Linked DNA regions of Canis lupus familiaris. The protein of the gene in region 3 purifies or fractionates together with the protein of the main gene of each other region. This does not show direct contact. Links are inferred from orthologs where the notes say so. Each region holds a gene or a part of one and is shown on either strand. Other genes may lie near its edges.

Region 1 (7,036 bases), on a different chromosome or scaffold from region 3:
TATCTAAATTTATTGTATTCACTTCATTAATTTTCATGGACACTTTACAACTTACCTTCCACATGCTACCTGGGTCACTCTATTCCCAGCAAGCTCAGTCACCAAACGGGGTCTTAACTCATTCTGTGTTGAATTGTGACCGAGCTGCCCATATTTTCCAGCACCAAAAGTAAATACCAGCCCATCCTGAAGAAAGAAAACTTATCAGATTCTAAAGAAATACAACAGTAAGTAATATTACTGAAAAATTAATAAAAAGACTGAATAATTAATAAAATTAATATCAGGGGAGCCTGATAGGTGGCTCAGTCAGTTAAGCATCTGCCTCTTGATTTCAGTTCAGGCTATGATCTCAGGTGCATGAGATCAAGCCCCACAATGGGCTCTGTGCTCAGCAGGAAGTCAGTTTTTCCACCCCTCTCTTGGCCCCTCCCCCCCACTCATGTGCACACACTCTCTAAAATAAACAAATCTTTAAAAAAAAAAAGCAAACTCCTAAAATTATCAGGAGGACAATCCTGCATGTAGGAAGTGACCTCTTTTCCCAGGGAATCACTAAGTGTGCACACCTAGGTGTTCCTGTGCTTTCCCCACTAAAAGTTCTTCCAGAATTATCATTGGAGAGAACAGGCAACACGCACCTTTGTGAGCAGGGCAGTGTGAGAGCCACCACAAGCGAGGAATTCTACTTTCTGATTGTCCAGTGCTTCAATAAGAGAAGGAAAATCTTCACCTACACAAGGAAAAGAATAGAAGTAATAAAAAAAAAAAAAAACATCGACTTGCACATTGGAGTTCTATGCTACTAGTAAAATACCTGGACTCCCAGCTGGCAACCACAGTTCCCAAAACCCAACAGGAAAGGCCGCTGGATTGGTATATTTATTTTGGCCTAAAACTGGGGGTGAGGCAGTGGTCAAAGGGCCACACACAGGAGAACTCATATGCCAAAGTGTCAAGCCAGTTCCTAGAACCCACTCTTCTTTTAGCCTAACTTCATTAACTTTAATTGCAGCATTATCTGGTATTTCCAATTCCCATCTAAAATCACCCTTTTAATAAACATACCCTTTTTTTCTTTTATATTCTCTATTCCCGGGTCACCTGGGTGGCTCAGTGATTGAACATCTGCCTTCAGCTCCGGGTGTGATCCCAGGGTCCTAGGATCAAGTCCCACATCAGGCTCCCCTTGGAGCCTGCTTCTCTCTCTGCCTAAGTCTCTGCCTCTGTGTCTTTCATGAATACGTAAATAAAATCTTAAAAAAAAAAAACTCTACTACCATGTCCCTACCCCACACTACCTCTTTTTTCTTTCAACGATTGCTTTGTCCTAGTACTTAGGGATTCAGCAAATACAGTTTAACTGCTTTTTATTCCCTTCGCCCATGGACTTATGGTTTCTCCTGAGTAACTAGCACTGGACCATGTCGGGGAAAGGTGCAGTATGACCAGTGACCCAGGGGGTAACATGTGCATTACCACAGTTGATAAAGCAGCAATGTGCCACACCTGAAAACTCCAAGAGGGTATTTTGGATCATAAAAAAATTTGCCATCTGCTTTGTGGAAGTAGTTCGATATGGGAATTACAGATTTTTTTCCCTATCTGTGTATACAGATATAATTAATACCTTATAGACTAAGTTTAGAATATGTGAGTTTCTAAAGAAATCATTAGTCTCCTTCTGTCCTAACATGGATATACTTCTGTTAACAGACATTTAAGTGCAAAGGCACTTTAGAGGTTATTTCAACCAAAAGCATCACTTTACAGAAAAAGAAAATAATGCCTAGAGAAAAATTAAGTGACTCAGCAAGGCCTTCTCATTAGTTAACTTGCAAAGTAGGAAGCAGAGCCTAGATATTCCCAACAGTCCAATGTCCTTTCCCTGAGCCCACACAACCCTGACATACATTTAATCACAACCACCTCCACACAATGCATGTCTTCTAGATTGATTCTGCCCTGAAGACAAAGATAACCAGGAAGAACAGCATAAATGACAGTGAAGATCTAAACCATTTTTGACAGGGAGGCCCTCCCTCGAGTTAAATTCATCTCTTATCTAACAAATATATCTGACAATAAGAGCTTGAAAATATGTTTCCATACCGTTAGTGTGGCCCAGGCCTAGTTGTCCCAAATCATTTCTTCCCCATGAGTAAATGTTTCCAGACATGGATAAGGCCATGCTGTGGGCTTTTCCCGCGGAAATCTGAACCAATGGGACTCCTGAGAGGTGCTCCACAAGCTGTGGCGTGGGGATTGAGGTGAATAGTCTTCCAACTCCAAGCTGGCCATGTAAATTCTGTCCCCACGCAAAAAGCTCACCACCTTGACATAAACAAAAGGCTGCCTTATTAAGTTTCAAGTGCAGGAAACATTAACTTAGGACATGTTATGTTATCCATACTATACAGTCTCTTACATTCAACTTCTCAGATACTGTATGTCTGAGACAATGAAACTAGAACATCTTCTCTTTAGCAATAACAGTTATACTTCTTTACTTCCTGCCTCAAAGGGTAGTGTCCTTGCTTCCCCAAATCTCATCTTCCTAGATTGTGACTTACCAGTAATAAACCCTGAACATCCCCACTTGTCCCATATCACTAGATTGTGGGCTTCTTAAATGGTCATGTCCACCGCCCACTCCCACCCCGAAATATACCTGTTGAAATCCTAACCCTAAACGTGAAGGTATTAGGAGGTGGACCTTTGGGAGATGATGAGGATTACCTGAGATCATCAGTATGGAGCCCTCAAAAATGGGATCAGTGCCCTTAAAAGAGACATTCCAGAGAGTTCTCTTGCCCTCTCCACCACTTACATGGTGGACCTTCAAAAGACATTCAATCTGCTGACACCCTGAATCGGACCTTCAAATTCCTGCTGTTTCAGTCAGCCAATCTATGGTATTTTTGTTACAGCAGCCCGAACGGACAAAGACAGGTAGAATGGAGCTACCTGAACATATTATAATCAAAACCAAGAAATATTTATTTAAAAAACAAATCATGATGGGCCCAAGAAAACCAGAAACTTTCTACATCTGGGAAAATAAAGCCTAAAATTAATGTTTGCCTTCTGCCCACCTGCTCTGTTCATTAGCCTGAAGATTCTAAATAATTTATACATTTGAAATCATAGCACAGTATCTTGACTCCACATCTTCTTCCTTAATTGAATACATGGAGCCTATTTTTCAAGACAACTTAAGTGTTATCTGATGGAGATGACAATATCTAACAGGGTCTGAAAAAAATATATCAGAGTATTAATGTTTACTGAGTACCTCTTTGCAAAAGACTGTGCAGGATCTGGTGGGAGGCAGCACCTCTCCTTCAAATGTAATTATCAGGTGCCTACCAGCCACCAGGCATATAATGAATGATGAAATGGTTAGTTCTCTTTCTTGCTTCCCTTTCATTCTTCCTAGATTATGATTACCAGAAATAAACTCTGAATATCTTTTTTGCCCCACGTCATTAGACTCTAGGCTTCTTGAAGACCTGGTGTATCCATTTATCTTTATAACTTGAATAGGGTAGGGGATCCCTGGGTGGCTCATCGGTTTAGGGCCTGCTTTTGGCCGAGGGCATGATTCTGGAAACCCGGGATCGAGTCCCATGTTGGGCTCCCTGCATGGAGCCTGTTTCTCCCTCTGCCTGTGTCTCTGCCTCTCTCTCTCTCTGTGTCTCTCTCATGAGTAAATAAATAAAATCTTTTAAATAAGTAAATAAATAACTTGAAAAGGGTAGATATTCGAAATATGTGTTGGTGAATGGATAAATTCAAACAACCAGGTCAATTTTTTATTTTTTTGTTTTGTTTTGTTTTTTTTTTTTTTTTTTTTTAATTTTTTAAATATAAGTTCATACTCTCAACTTCAACTGGGCTTTCAGCAAAGGTCAAATTCTAGATTAGTTACTTCTATTTCACCCCAGTTTCCCTTCAGTTTGTTTCTATCTGCCTTATATATTTAAAAAAAAAAACTTTTGGGGGGGCACCTGTGTGGCTCAGTGGTTAAGCATCTGCCTTTGACACAGGTCATGATCCCGGGTCCTGGGATTGAGTCTTGCATCAGGCTCCACACAGGGAGCCTGCTTCTCCCTCTGCCTGTGTCTCTGCCTCTCTGTGTGTGTGTGTGTCTCATGAATGATCTTAAAAAAAAAAAAAAGAAAAAAAGAAATAGGAAATAATAAGGGCTGGAGAGAATCCCTGAATTTAAATGATAACGAGGAACACATAGAGGCCTGCAAACTGGCCACAAGATTAGATCCAAGGGAGTCTAAGCTCCTGTCATGGGCGCTGAAAGAGAACTAGAAAAAGGGAAGCAGGTTCTAGAAAAGGCATCCATGCTTGGTCCTCTTTCCAGAATGATTCTAATTATTCAGAATATTTTCATTGTTTCTTATTTGAAAAATAAAAACATGGAACTGTTGAAATAAATCTCTCAAGTCAAGATGGAACCAGTGCTGTATCAGCAAACTGACTTACAAACTCCTTTAACTGCTCCACTTGACCAGAAACACTATATATCCAGTAAACTAATCCCCAAACACCAAGCCAACTCTGAGCCATATAGTTGTTGCCTGCTATTTCTAAATAAAATTAGATATGCAACCCCCAATCAACCATGCCCTATTTCTGCACTGTGGCTTCCAATGCTTTAGAAAACTTGCCCTTGCTCAAAATCCTTCTAGAAGAGTGCTCCACTGCTTGTGATGCACTGTACTCCTAATCCATCGATTGTCCTTGAACAAAGGGTATCAAATTCTTTACTAAATTGTTTGTTTTGTCATTTGACAGAATGCAATGTAGAAACGATGAATATGGAAACCTAAAGATTTTATAGATCCAAAAATTCTTTTATTTTGTAACAAGTGCCTTGGGGTGCCTGGCTGGCTCAGTTGGTAGAGCATGTGACTCTTGATTGACTCTATCTCAGGGTCATGAATTCAAGCCCCATACTGAGCCTAGAGCTACTTAAAAAAAAAAAAAAAAAAAAGAACAAGTGCCCTGAACTATAGCAAATTCAAAATCATAACTTTGTCTATTATAAAGTGAAGCACATACATTCTACTAGCTCTACATATACACATATACATGTTTATTCCTTCTAAAAAACAATATTCCAGAAAAGTACCTTTTGAGAGTGCAAGAGAATGATAATCTCCACATGTGATCTGAATTATACTTTTTTCTTGTAAAATGCATTGAAACCTGATGAAAGAAAATAAAATTTATGTCAATCACTATAATGAAAGTCACAACATCAATGTTAAATTTATTAATTGTATTTAATTGGAATTGATATAGTTCACTGATGAAATTCACTGGTCATTTCAGAATTGTTTACTTTAGAGCCACTATATAAAGCAGAGGACAAAATTCATATAAATTACCATTTTCCTATAAAAATTATGATTGCCTCTTGAGTAAAATTTAAATAATCTTTAATATAATTTTTTGTAAAAGAAAAAAAAGTTCCCTACCTTGCATGTTCTATGCTATAGTTGTACTCGAATGGTTTTCCATCTGAGGATAGAATCAGCATGTGCTCTGCTCCTTGGTCCACGGAATGTATCTTCATTTTTTTCCCTAATTTAATGCACTCTGCAGAGCAAATCCAACCAGGAATTATCACCACTCTGGTTATTACCCATTATCATTAATCATTTCGTTATAATACACTTAAAACACCCCCCAAAAAATTTCAACGAGACAACCTTGGACTTAACACGAACCTCTCTTTAAAGAAAAATTCAAGAATGAAAGCAGACAAACTAACAATGCTACTGTTTGACAACGGATTTTTTTTTCTTTTTTCTTAAGATTGTATTTATTTTTGAGAAGGAGAGAACGAGTGGTAGGGAGGAGGAGAGGGAGGGAAGGAAAGAGGAAAAGGGAGGGAGGAAAAAAGAGAGAAAGAGAGAGAGAAAAGCAGACTGCCTCCTGAGCAGGGAGCCCACCGTGGGGCTGGATCCCAGGATCCGGAGACCATGACCTGAGCTAAAGGCAGATGCATCCAAACACCCCGGCCATGGATTTTTTCAATTTGGGAAAGCATTGATTCATACTTTGTTTTAAACTGAATATAGGGCAGCCTGGGTGGCTCAGCGGTTTAGCGCTGCCTTCGGCCCAGGGCCTGATCCTGGAGACCCGGGATGGAGTCCCGCGTCAGGCTCCCTGCATGGAGCCTGCTTCTCCCTCTGCCTGTGTCTCTGCCTCTCTCTCTATGTATCTCATAAATAAATAAATAACATCTTTAAAAAATAAAAATAAACTGAATATAGTTTTGGGGTGCCTAAGTGGCTCAGTCGGTTAAGCATCTCTCTTGGGTTTCAGGTCAGCTCATGATCTCAGGATTGTAAAATGGAGGAGCTTGGAGCCTGCTTAAGATTCTTTCTCGCCCTCTGCCCCTCCCCCCTCTAAAAAATAAAATCAAATAAATTCAATATAGTTTTAAAATAACCAATTAAATATTGTTTTGAATTCCTGTTTAATAAATTGAGACAGAAATTGAATTTGAAGCGACAGAAATGAAAAATTCTATAAGAAAATATAACAATATCTGGAGAACATAACTCATTTTGTGTATTTTGAGACCTACTCTTTACAAATACAAAACAAATAATAATAAAACCTCTTAATTGCTCCATGTAGAAGCCAAGTTCTATATTTTTGAAAGGAAGAATTGTGTTTGAGGACATTTTTTTTTTTTTTTTTGAGGAGGACTATTTTTAAGGAAGAATGGTGTCAAAAGAATTTTCATGGTCATTATTGCATATTTAGCCCTTTCTAAAAATTAAGAGATTTAAAAATTGTCCAGTTACCGTTTACTCTTATTTCATTTGTTCACAAAAATTAGATAGGAGATCTTGTTTTACTTTTTGGTTCTAACCAAATAGAATTTATTCATGTAAAAATCTCAAAGCACAAACCACTTCACATTAGAAATGCTATGAGAACCAAAATAGTTTGGTAATAAAGAAGAAATGGTCCAACAGACTAATGTTTTTTAGAGATCAGC
Region 2 (5,695 bases), about 6.1 Mb from region 3:
AGAGGCGGCAGGAAGAGAGGGGCATTTGGCTCTTGTGTCCACCCAGCTACCCCAGCAAGTGGGCCACTCACTGCTGCTTCTGCTTCCCAACCTCCCCCGCCCCCAGCATTTCCCAAAGACAAAGTAGAAAAAAGGGCAGAAGTGCTAGTTCTTGGAAGAGAAAGAAAAATGATTTTAATGAAAGGACAACCCAGTTTCTTTAGAGGTGGCATAAGGACACACACTCGGCGTGGATGTTACAGAATGACCGAATCCCCGGCACTCTCATGGCATGGGGAGAGCAGGGTGGTTAAAAAGTAAACAAATGTTTCTCGGAGACCTATACTCAGGTATTTACAGGTGAAATCTTAGAACTGGAATGTGCTTCCAGTTCTCCAGTAGAAAAGGAGGAAACGTAGTGTATGAAGAGAAGCCCCGTGGGAATGCCGACAGCTGCCCTGTGTGGGTCACAGGGCAGATGTCCCACCAGGCACCATTTAAGCAAAGGGTAACCAGGCTGACTCAAGACTGGAAAAAGGAACAAAAAAATAGACAAGTCTCCATGTTCAGGGGCCCCCAAGGACCCATTATGGTAATAAAAAGGGACCAGAACATCCAAAGGCACTGGGTTCCAGTGGGAACCTGCCTGTCCCCCTTCTATGAGGCCCGGTGTCCTCACTCACAAAACACAGTGCTGGACTAGTCAATCACTAAGGCTTCCTGCTGGCTCTAAAAATTCTAGGATCACATTATTCTAAAGGGGACCTGTTCCCTCTTCCACCACAAGATGGCAGCATGGTCCTCAGCCTCCAGCTCTGGGCCCATGCCTCAGGGGATGTAGGTTCTGTGCTGGGGCAGCCCCTAAACCAAGGGCCCCCACCTGCATACCCCCCATAGAACCAGGGCTCCCCCTGGAGGATGGTGCCCACACACTCAGTGCAGGTTGGCTTCCTTTTTACCTGAGGATCTGGTTGTACTTGGCCAAGCGCTCAGATCTGCATGGTGCACCCGTCTTGATCTAGAAGGGAAAAGAAAGGTCACTTGTGTTTGTCATGGATGCTCAATCTTCATGGGCATTTAGGGCAGAAAGGAGGGCATCAAGGGGCATCCAGGATCCCATCCTCCCCCTCCTTCTTGGCATGCTGCTCGAGAAGCTGAGGTCCCAGAAGAGTTAAGCAGCTCTTTACCTGCCCAGTGCAGAGTCCCACCACCAGGTCAGCGATGAAGGTATCTTCGGTCTCCCCGGAGCGATGCGACACCATGACGCCCCACCCATTGGACTGGGCCAGCTTGCACCTACAAGGCAAGAAACCACCGGACGGTTGGATGGTGTGACTCCCATTTCCTGGGCCCTGCAGTCGTTCTGGCCCTCCTGATGCCAGGCCTCAACACCCCCAGTGGGAGACCAGAGGCAGCTCAGGGCCAGGAGGACCTTCTCAGCCCTCTAGGTTACTTTTTAAAAGGTGGGTTCAGACTCCTTGAGGGGAGAGGCTTATCTCCCCAGACAGTGCCTATGCCTGATGTTTTCCACCAAAGATCAGGTCGTGAGTCTAGAACCAAGACTGGACAGGACTGGGCCACAGCTGCCTGATACCCCAGTCTCCTTGGCACCACTGCAGATTTCAGAAGCCACTTGCAGGCTCCCATCACAGCTCTAGCCAGGTGCTCTGGCTGACATGCAGTACCTTGTTCTGACAGCTGAGCCCTGAAGGGACTTACGCCTGAAGAGACTCGGTCACAGAGCCAATCTGGTTCACTTTAAGCAGGAGGCAGTTGCACGATTTCTCGCCCACAGCCTTGGAAATCCGCTTTGGGTTGGTCACGGTGAGATCGTCCCCCACCACCTGGATTCCAGCGCTGGCAGTGAATTTCTGCCAAGCTTCCCAGTCATCCTGGTCGAAGGGGTCTTCGATAGACACCACTGGGGAAAGGAGAGCCATGTGTGGTCGGTGAGACCCCTGTGCTGACCGCCACCCGAACCTCCTCACTTGGCCTCACCCCTCTCCCGCAGGACAGGACTGGCTCCCCACGTCCCCACCGACTCCTGTGACAGGGCACCAATGTCACCTGCAACCCTAGGACCCTACAGACGCTAAGTGGGACACTTCCTGTCCAGGGTGGCTTGAGTTTAGTGCCGGCGAGAAGAGAAAAGCTGTGGGCTCAGGAGACTGCGGAGCTGGGCTCGCCCTGGCTCCACTGAGCACGTTCTCTATCTTTGTTCCAGCAGGGACTCAGACTTCCTGGTCTGATTCTTGCTCCGTCACCTGCTAAGCACCTTCGGGCCGATTACTAACCCACTCCGTGCCTCAGTTCCCCTCATGAAACAGCAGGAACAGTCCCTACCCTGCGTGCGTGAAGTGACATAGAGACTAGAGGAGCGCCAGCTCACTGTGTCACCCACGGGCAGTCAGCAGGCTTGAGGCTCGCTCTGCTCACGATGGAGCCAGGACAGCCTTTGCTCAGGAGGCTGTGATAGGGACAGAGGGCTCACACACTCTGGAGACCACCTACCACCTGAGGTCAGTGCTGGCTGGCACCCCAGAACCACCTGACTCCACTGCTCCACCAGTGCCCGCCTGCCCCGCTCACCTGGGTAGTCCCTGATGAAGGACTTGTAGAGGTCAGCCAGCTGATCAGGCGTGATGTACCTGCTGGGGTCATCAGGGGACTTGAAGTCCAGGTCATACTTCCCAGACCTGAAGAACTCGGAAGCAGCTACGTCCATGCCGATGACCACCTTATCGGTGTAGCCAGCCTTCCCGATGGCATTCTTCAGCAGTTCCAGAGCTGGAAAGAGGTTGGCGACAGGATTGGAAACCAGGCAGGTGGAGAAAAAAGTTCCCTTCAGCAGCTGCCAAATGGGGAGCTCTAACAGAATGACCACGAGGTACTCTGACCCCAATCATCGCTTTGACGAGTCCAGTACTTCTTTCCGCATTGGAGCAAGAACCTGCTGGAAACGGCCCCCAGCAGACGGCCAAATGGAAAATTTAGTCTCTCCTCTCAGAGAGTTTCTTGCTGACACATGCTCCCAAATTTAGCAGCCAGGAGTGACTGTGCTGGCTGAGACAGTTACAGTGACCAGCTGAGAGCCGCTGTCCTAGGAACCCAGGAGGGCAGCAAAAGGGTGAGGCCCGGCCTCTGGGGCCTCTTGTCTCCAGCTCGAGGGCGGCCTCACACGGCAGAGCTGCCCGGACAGAGGCGGACAGAGGCACTTGGCGTCTGCTCCCTACCACAGATCTCCAAGCTATCCCATTAAACCACGTGAAAGGGTCATTTTTTGTAGGTCAAAGTAGCTGAGCCTCAGCATTTTGTATGACTGACCCAAAGAGCAGGATGGATGCTTTTTCCTTTACTAGTTGTCCCTGAGACAACAAAATGTGGTTGAACCCTCCTTTCCTTCTAAAACAAAAAGCTCAGCCGTGAGTTCTCCTCTTAAGACTCTCTGTGCCCTACCCAACTCTTACGTTGAACCCTGTGCCTAAGGGCTCCAGGCAACAAGGCACTGTGTGAACAGCCCTGTAGTGGATGAACTGGGGGGGGGGGGGGGGGGGGGGGGGGCTCCTGGTCACGGGCTGGACAGACGACATCTCCGGGACACAGTGCGGACTTCAAACCTTTGCCCTTATGAGGTGGTTCAATGGCAAGAGAGCAAGTAGGGGCACGTGGTGGCTTAGCTGGTTAAGTGTTTGCCTTCAGCTCTGGTCCTGATCTGAGCCTTTAGTTCAGGGTCCTGGGCTCGAGTCCCTCATCTGGTTCCCTGCTCAGTAGGGGGTCTGCTTGTTCCTCTCCCTCTGTCCCTCCCCCCTGTCCATATTCTTTCTCAAAAGAATAAAATCTTAAATAAGCAACCAGGCCACTCAGAAATCAAATTAATAAGCAAATTCCTTATTTTAACAAATAAAGTACTAGCTTCCCCATCTGTTCCCAGAAGTCTGCTTGGTGAACAGAAGGTGGAAGGACCAGAGCTCCCTGCATCACAGTTCCGGCACATCTGCTAAGCGTGCGGGCAGTGCCACGGAATGCGGGGACTCCTCCAGAGCCTTTACCTTCTTTGTTCTCCAGGATATTAGGAGCAAATCCACCTTCATCGCCCACATTGGTGGCATCTTTTCCATATTTCTCCTTGATGACATTCTTCAGGTTATGATAAACCTCTGCTCCAATGCGCATGGCCTCCTTGAAGTTCGCTGCACCGACGGGAAGGATCATGAACTCCTGCATGGCCAGCTTGTTGCCAGCATGGGAACCACCGTTGATGACATTGAAGGCCTAGGGAGAGATAGAGAGAAATACAGCCATCTGGCCCAGAGAGCGCCCCCAAGCAACCTCCTCACGACTGCATGGCTCACAGTGTGGCTCTGAAATGCTCACCAGGTCTCTCCCGCTAAGAGCAGCGGTCACCACCAGGTGTGCTTACTGTCCTGAGGACCAGCTATGACCTCAGAGAACATTCACAACCCAGCAAGTATGGTTTTCATTCCCTCATCAGCAGTAAGGGATGTGGGGTACAGTCCTCTACTCAGGGTCATTCTTAGCAAGTGGCAGGTGTCTGCACCCGAGACCTCCAGGGCCTGCGCGTGCCCACTGTGCTGGGAGAGTTCCATGTGGAGGACACCAAGATGTGGGAGGTCTTAGGTTCCCACAAAGCAAATACCCACAAGCTCCTCACTTGGAGTTCCAAGCCACTCACCGGAACTGGCAGGATAACTTCAGAATTGCCAGCCAAATCAGCAATGTGGCGGTACAGGGGCACCCCCTTCTCGACAGCCCCCGCCTTGCAGACAGCCAGGGACACTCCCAGAATGGCGTTTGCACCAAATTTAGCTGGAATAGAACAATTCAGTTGAGGAATTTCATACTCCCAGCTTCCTGCTGACCTTCCGGCCTGCACCCCCACACCAGCATATACCATGGCCTGTATCTGGAACCTTTCCTCTCCTGACCACGTCTATTCCCCGAATCCGAACCAGAAACCCAACAGCTCTCCACATGAACTCATCTATCTGCTTTCTCCCAAGAGAAAGCCCTTTCTTTGGTCTATGGAACTCTGGCAAATTCCACAAAAACTGCGTGCTGCTGTCACCTGGTATTGCTCCTGATACTTAGAAACGTGATTTATTCAGGTGAGGAGGGGGGCCCTGAAAAGCCCCCAGACTGATGCGCAGTCCTCAGTGGGGACCGCACAACCACCCCCAGAGGGTCGGAAGGTATTTGGGAGACACCAGCAGCCTCCACCCCTGACCACTCACATTTATTCTCTGTCCCGTCCATCTCGATCATCAGTTTGTCAATCTTTTCCTGCTCCACAACATTCACTTTCTGCGGGGAGAGGAGAGGGTCAGTCACGGGGGGATGGGGGTGGCGGCGGCAGTGTCATACCCCTCACAGGACCTTTGCGCTCCTGTGACAGAACCCAGTTAACTTTGGAACTGTGCAAAGTCCAAATCACTTCTATGTTATGTGTCTGGAAAGCAAAAAAAAAGAAGCGGGGGGGGGGGGGGGGGGGGAGGGGGGGGAATGGAGAGAAAACAGGAGGCACCAAAGCGCACGTCACTTGCTTTCCTGGCAGCAGGCATTTCTCCAAGGACCGGGGCCAGCAGTAAAATATGTCAGACATGGTCCCGGTGGCACCACACGGAAGCCAGAACTGCCTGGCACATGCTGACAAAGGTCACCACAAAATAGTGTGATGTGGAAATGGTACATAGCAGAA
Region 3 (6,484 bases):
CGGCTGCAATCGGGTTAATGCATAATCTGGAGGCGACGTGACGGGACTTCCAAGGGGCTCCAGGCTGTGCCGTGGCCAGAGCCGCGGGAAGGGGCTGCCGGGTGCTGGGACCCCGCCGTCCCTCGGGCCCTGCGGGACTGCGCCCCTCCCCTGGCGGGAGGAACCCGCTGGGGCACGACAGCCTCTTGGAAAACCGGGGCCGCAAACTCGCCGGGGCGCGGGACCCCCAGCCAGTTCGGGCGAGTAGGCGGCCCCCGCAGGCCGCGCCCCCGGCGGGCTAGGGCCAATGTGGGCTGGGGGCCGTGGTGATTGGCCAGGACGGAGCGCAGACCCGCCCACCTCCCGTTCCCGGGTGAGCTGGGGCCTCACTGCAGAGCGGAGGGCTCCCTCTACAGGCCAGCGGTGACAACGTGGGGCCGGCGGCGCACGGACAGCCACGCCCCCTCTTCAGCCCCGAGATGAGCGCCTCTCCAGCCTGCCGGCCTGGATAACCCGGGTAAACCGAGATCCAGGGGGTACAAATGAGAGCCTAGCTTAGCTGGAGATGGAGGGAAGGGAGAGGCTACCGCTTCTGTCCCGCCAGGGCCGGGTCGCCGGCACACCTCCTCAACTCCGAGCCAGCCACAGATCGCTGAAGCAATGGAGGGTAAGTGGCAGAAGAGCCCCCCTCTGGAGGAGGACCCTACCTCCCCAGGCCCTGGTGGGAGGGTGCCACCAAGGGTGTATGCTCACACTGGCTAATTTGTCTTATGACAAAGAAGGGAGGGTAGGGACCCAGGAAATGAAACTGGAATCAGGGGAGCACCCCACCCCCCCCACACACACAGCTGCCTGTCTACACATATTGGTCACAGATAAGCCAGACCTAGAAGTCCCTTGGCCTAGATACAGACCCCCACAGACCAGAAAGGGGCTTCTGGGCCTCCAGCCAAATTACCCTTGCAGTCTGAAAGCTGAAGTCTGAGTGTCCTCAGAGAAGTATGTTCTGAGCGTCCACCCCCCCCCCCCACACACACACACACTCCCCATCTTGCCTGTGTCCAAGGCTGACACCATCTGGCTCCTGTAGAGTTCTTGGGGAATTGGTATAGAAAGAACCATTCTATGTGGAAGCAGGTGTGTTTCCACCTATGTGGAAATAGGTGCCCCCCACCTAGGACAAGCTCTTCCGTATGAACTAGAGGAACCCCTCATCCCGGGAGGCCCCTCTCCTGCTGGCCATGGCCTCTCCATTAAGTAAAGCCCTGAAGGAAGGTGTATCTGCTGGAGAATAGTCTCCGTTTAGCAGTTTGTGGGACAGTGATGTGTGTGTTCAAGGCCCTGCCCGTACCCCTCCCTAAACCAATGCAGACTGGACAGGGCAGGCTGATGGATCCTGGAGGGCCATGAGGCCCCAGGGCCCTGGCTGGTTTGGAGGAGCCTGCTTCACAGCCCACCGAGGCAGGCTCTGGGGCCTCACCCTCTCACCATTTCCAGGGGTGCTGGTCCCAGCAGGAACCTGACCACACCTCCCCCCACCCCACCATACTGTCTGCTGACCCAGATGTAGGGAATGGGAACCAGTTGTGCAAAGGCTGATTCTGGCTCAATCTGGAGATAGAGGTGGGCTCCAGCAGATGTGTCTCTTTTCTTTCTCTAGAAGTTAACTTCCCGAAGGTGTGGGGACATCTTCAATTTGTCCAAGGTGTGGATGGGAGTAGATCTCTATTTTGATCTCACTAGTCTTGTCCCTTAACTTGGCAACCCCAGCCTACTGACCACCCAGCGTCCCTGGGTCTCCTTATCCCACTTCCTCCTCTGTCCCTCCCTGTCCACATCAGCAGGGATGCAGAAGTGAGGGATGCTGGGGGAAGGACCAAGCAGAAGGAGCCATTTAATTTTGTCAACTTTTATTACCCATACTTGGTCAAGGACTTGGGTGGGTGGCTCTCAGCACTGCCCTCCTGGTCCTGCCCAATTCCCACCACCACCCCGCAGGCGTAAATTCATGAACACAGTGCACTGGGGTGTGAGACCATACTCCCCCAGCTGGTGCTTGTCCTCCATGGGCTTCCCTTCAAAAGTCAGCCAGAACAGGTCAGCCTGCACGTGCTCCTGCTGGCACACTTGCTGCTTGAGCTCAGCCACAGTCTGTGTCAGCCAGACCTCGTAGGCGATACTGCGACCCTTATTGTTTCTCACCAGGATGCTCAGGGGGTCATTACAGTTCTTCACCACCAGCAGGACTGTGCTGCCAGGACACAGGCCCTGCCTGATGAGGGAGATCCCATCCTGCAGCACTGTGCCAGCCGGGTGGGTAGCTAGGCGCTGTTGGAACGCAGGCACGCCAGTTTTCAGGGCTATCTGCTGCTTCAGCTCTGATGCCAGCATAGAGTCCCTCAGGGGCACCAGGAACTCCTCACCTCCCAGCATCTTCACAGTCAGGTTCCCAGCCTGTGGGCATCACACAGACTCATAAACCTCACCATCAGTCCTGGAGCCTCTACATGCAGATCATTGGCCACAGGGAAAGCTGTGCTCTCCTCCCCACCCACCAGGAAAGGAACCCCAGGCACTAGAGGGAAGCAGGGAGCATTTCCAGAAGAAAGGCCCATCCCCCAGGACCATCACCTCACCTCCTCAGCCCACTAAGATGCCTTCCTGTGCCAATGCCAAGGGATCTCAGAATTCAACACTGGCAAAACACATTTTCCCAGACCCAGACCTCAATCTCAGAAGCGGCCCTGCCCCTCCCCTCATGCTTAGGGACCTGGGGGAGCTCTGAGCACCTCCACTTGCCTGGCTCCACCCTTGGAAGACCCTAGCAGTAAGATAGGAAAAGAGCCTGGTACAGAGCCCACCTGCCCCCCGCCTGTCAAACACCCCTTACCATGGCTGTAGGCTCCAGCATCAAGTCCTCCAGGGGCACAGATGGATTGGCTGCCTCTCAGCTTGCAGCTACTCTCCTGTTCAGCCCTTTTATGAACCTGAGCTGTTCACGTCAGAGGGCAGTGTTGGGGAGAGAGCCTGACCATTGGCTGAATTTAGCTTCGGTTTCAGTTTCCTTTTCCCAGGGAATGCTCCTGTGAGTAGCAGAAACAAAACAGTAATAAAGACCTGGGATTACCCACCTGCCCAGAGACTCAGGACAATGCTCTCACCCTGTGTTCATTCAGAAACCCCCGTAAGTGTCTAGCACTTCAGGTTCTTTACAAGCTACACGGAAGTCATAACAGAAACTAATGACTGGAAACATTCACTTTCCATTTACCAATTTGCAAAATTAGTAAGTTTGGAAAACATTGCTGCAATTAATTCAGAAATAACAAACAAGTGACAATCCAAACTACCCAGAGATTATCACCATTGGTTTAGGATGGTATTTCTTCAGATTGTTTTTTGTTTGTTGGTTTAATGAAAGAAATATATCTCTTATTTTCTATAAAAATGAATTCATGAACACTATCCAGAAAGTGAAAAGGCTTTTCTCAAAATGGAAGAAAATATTTGCAAATCATAAGTCAGATAAGGATCTGGTGTCCATAACATATAAAGAACTCTTAGAACTGAACTATAAAAAATATAAACAATTCAATAAAAAATTGGGCAAATGGGGGCACCTGGGTGGCAGAGTTGGTTAAGTGGCCAACTCTGTTTTGGCTCAGGTCATGATCTCAGGGTTGTGAGATTGAGCCCCATGTCAGGCTTTGCACTCAGCCTGGAGTCTGCTCAGGTTTCTCTCTGCCTCTCCCCTGCTCTCTCTTTCTCTCAAATAAACAGATAAATAAATCTTTTTTTTTTAATTGGGCGAGTGTTTGAATAGATCTTTCTCTGTAGAAAATACATAAATACACATGAAAAGATGCTCAACATCATTAGTCCTTAGGGAAATGTCATTAGAGAAACTTAGATCAAAATCACAATGAGATACTATGTCACACTTATTATTATAGCATGACTATAATAATATATTAGTATAATATAAAATAATAATTCAAAAAAAACAATAACGAGTGTTGATGAGGATGTAAAGAAATTGGAACCTTCATACATTGCTGATGGTAATGTAAAAATGGTGCAGCTACTGTGGAAAACAGTGTAGTCACTCCTCAAAAAGTTAAACAGGATTTTCACATGACCCAGCAATTCCATTCCTGGGTATATGTTGAAAAGAATTGAACACAGGTGTTCAGAGAAGTACTTGTACCCAAATGTTCATAGCAGCACTATTTACAACAGAAAAAAGATAGAAATTGTGGAAACAACCAAGTCCATCAACAGATGGATGCATAAACAAAATATGATACACTCTTATGATGGAATATTATTGAGCCATAAAAAGGGATGAAGTACTAATACCTGCTACCACATGAATGAATCCTGAAAACATTATGTTAAGTGAAATAAGCCAGACACAAAAGGCCACATATATCATATGATTCTATTTATATGAGATATCCACAATAGGCAAACCCATAGAGTCCAGTATTGATTGCCAGGGAATGATTGCTTTATGAATATGAGGCCTCCTTTGAGGGTGATACAATGTCTTAGAACTAGATAGAGGTAATGGTTGCACAATGTTGTAAATATACTGACTCTGAGTTATGTACTTTAAAATGGTTAAATTTTTGTTATATGAATTTTACCTCAATAAAAACAAAGCCAAAGAAATTAACTCATCCTACTCTTACCATTTTGTAACCTGCTTCATTCAAAACAGTATATCATAAACATACCTCCATCCTACCAGACGTAGAGGACTTCTATCCTGGAGAAACATGATCTTGCTGCCTCATATGGCATCTGACCTGTACTCCCTCAAAGCCTCTTGGAACCTGCTGGTTTTCCCATTGGTGAGCTAAACAAAACACTCGACATGTGCTCACTCTGCATTTTTTTGGAAGTCATGTTTTTTTGCCTTGAAAATCATATTTTGATATGAGATATTGGAATATATGCCTCCATTGCTCAGATCTTGGTAGGATGCTGTCACCATTGATTTTGGGAAAAGATGGTATCATTATCTGGATATTGGAGAGGTGCCATCTTTGTTATTCATTCATTTGGCTAACATGTCTTTACAGAGTACACACTTTGTGCCAGGTACTACTCCTGGACAAAATGGAGTTCACATTCTAGTGTAGTGGACAGACATTGGGTGGTATAAGTAGGTACAGAAGTCATGTGTTGCAGGGTGCCCAGCTGGCTCAATTGGTATAGCGTGCAACTCTCAATCTCAGGGTTGTAAGTTTGAGCCCCATGTTGGGTATAAAGATTACTTAAAAATAAAGTCTAAACCAAAAAAAAAAAAAAAAAAAAGAAAGGCATATGTTGCCAGGGATAAGTACAAAGAAGAAAAGAGCAGAAAAGGGGGATGTAAGTCCTAAAGAATCCCAGGCAGAGGCCAGGGTGCTGCAAAACCCTGGGGCAGGAGTGTGTCTACACATGCGGGAGGCAGTAAGGCTGATGAGTGGATGCAGAGAAGCAGGGCATGGAGATGGCCACTGGAGACACTATGCATTCCCCCAGGAGGGGCTGACCTGATTTTGCTCAGGCCTAACAGGATCATCAGGACAGTTGCATGAAGTAGAAGACCTCAGGTCAGGAAGGGAGCTGGAGATCAATTAGGAGTTTCTCTGAAAATCCAGAGAAAATGTGGTGTTGGTGTGGAGTCAGTGGCAGGAGAGGTATTGGATATATCAGGGAGCTAGAGCTGTAGTAGGGCCTGATAGGCCAGGGTGGAGAGTGGACTCCTAGTGTCAAGGGTGGCAGCAGAATGCTGGTCTGAGGAGTCCAAGAAAGATGTAGGGGAGGCAAGGGGCTTCAGTCAGGCCCAGACACCAGGCAGAGACTGCCCCATTTGTCTAAACAGAAAAGTTAGTATAACAACTTGTTCACCAGGTGTCAGAGGGGGGAAAGTCATAGGAGAACATGGGGACACTACAGTGGGGCAGGAGGTTGGGCAGCAGAGAAGAGGCTAGGGCTATAGAGGGTAGAGGTGGGACAAAAGTGGTCCAGAGGGAGGTTGGCCAACCCTACTCATGCCTCTGTGGTCAGGACCTCCTGGTGGTGGGAGGGAGGGGAAGACTCCAGGGTGGGTGTGAAACTGAGATCCACAGTCAAAACCCAATACTATAGGACTCAGGAACTTGGTTATAGACATATTGCACCTGAAATGTCTGTTAGATTTAAAATCCGGTGAGGGATATGGCCTGCGGTTCATGGATAAGTCCAGGCTGGGGTTACCATTTGGGATGTCATTAGCAGGAGACTGTGTGAGGCATGCAAGGGAGTGGGTACAGAGAGGGTAAGGAGTCATGCAGAAATCAGAAAGGCAGAAGGAGTGGCAGTGAGGCGGAGGGCAATCAGGGGTTGATATGGCTAAGAAGCCAGAGAGGGATGTGTAGCCACCCTAGTCACTACTGGATCAGCCGCAGGGACATCCTGGTGACCTTGCCGAGCTTGGTCTCCACAGTCTTGGGGCAGACTGAGAGAGTTTGAG

The links.
Region 1: the proteins of ISG15 (region 3) and HERC5 purify together in Homo sapiens (affinity purification with western blotting; 3 studies listed by BioGRID, with this or other methods). This does not show direct contact. The link is inferred for Canis lupus familiaris from reciprocal best matches to the Homo sapiens genes ISG15 and HERC5.
Region 2: the proteins of ISG15 (region 3) and ENO1 purify together in Homo sapiens (affinity purification with mass spectrometry; 4 studies listed by BioGRID, with this or other methods). This does not show direct contact. The link is inferred for Canis lupus familiaris from reciprocal best matches to the Homo sapiens genes ISG15 and ENO1.

Annotation. Positions count from the first base shown.
Region 1 is NC_049253.1:28,189,899-28,196,934, forward strand, and holds part of HERC5 (E3 ISG15--protein ligase HERC5), read right to left. Parts: intron 5,620-7,036; coding exon 5,499-5,619; intron 5,227-5,498; coding exon 5,150-5,226; intron 2,335-5,149; coding exon 2,113-2,334; intron 734-2,112; coding exon 642-733; intron 187-641; coding exon 56-186; intron 1-55.
Region 2 is NC_049226.1:62,794,815-62,800,509, forward strand, and holds part of ENO1 (alpha-enolase), read right to left. Parts: intron 5,302-5,695; coding exon 5,232-5,301; intron 4,807-5,231; coding exon 4,673-4,806; intron 4,252-4,672; coding exon 4,029-4,251; intron 2,767-4,028; coding exon 2,569-2,766; intron 1,901-2,568; coding exon 1,699-1,900; intron 1,276-1,698; coding exon 1,167-1,275; intron 998-1,166; coding exon 939-997; intron 1-938. UniProt on the Homo sapiens protein: Glycolytic enzyme the catalyzes the conversion of 2-phosphoglycerate to phosphoenolpyruvate. In addition to glycolysis, involved in various processes such as growth control, hypoxia tolerance and allergic responses.
Region 3 is NC_049226.1:56,709,223-56,715,706, reverse strand, and holds ISG15 (ubiquitin-like protein ISG15), read right to left. Parts: upstream 3,027-6,484; 5' UTR 2,891-3,026; coding exon 2,870-2,890; intron 2,434-2,869; coding exon 1,930-2,433; 3' UTR 1,873-1,929; downstream 1-1,872.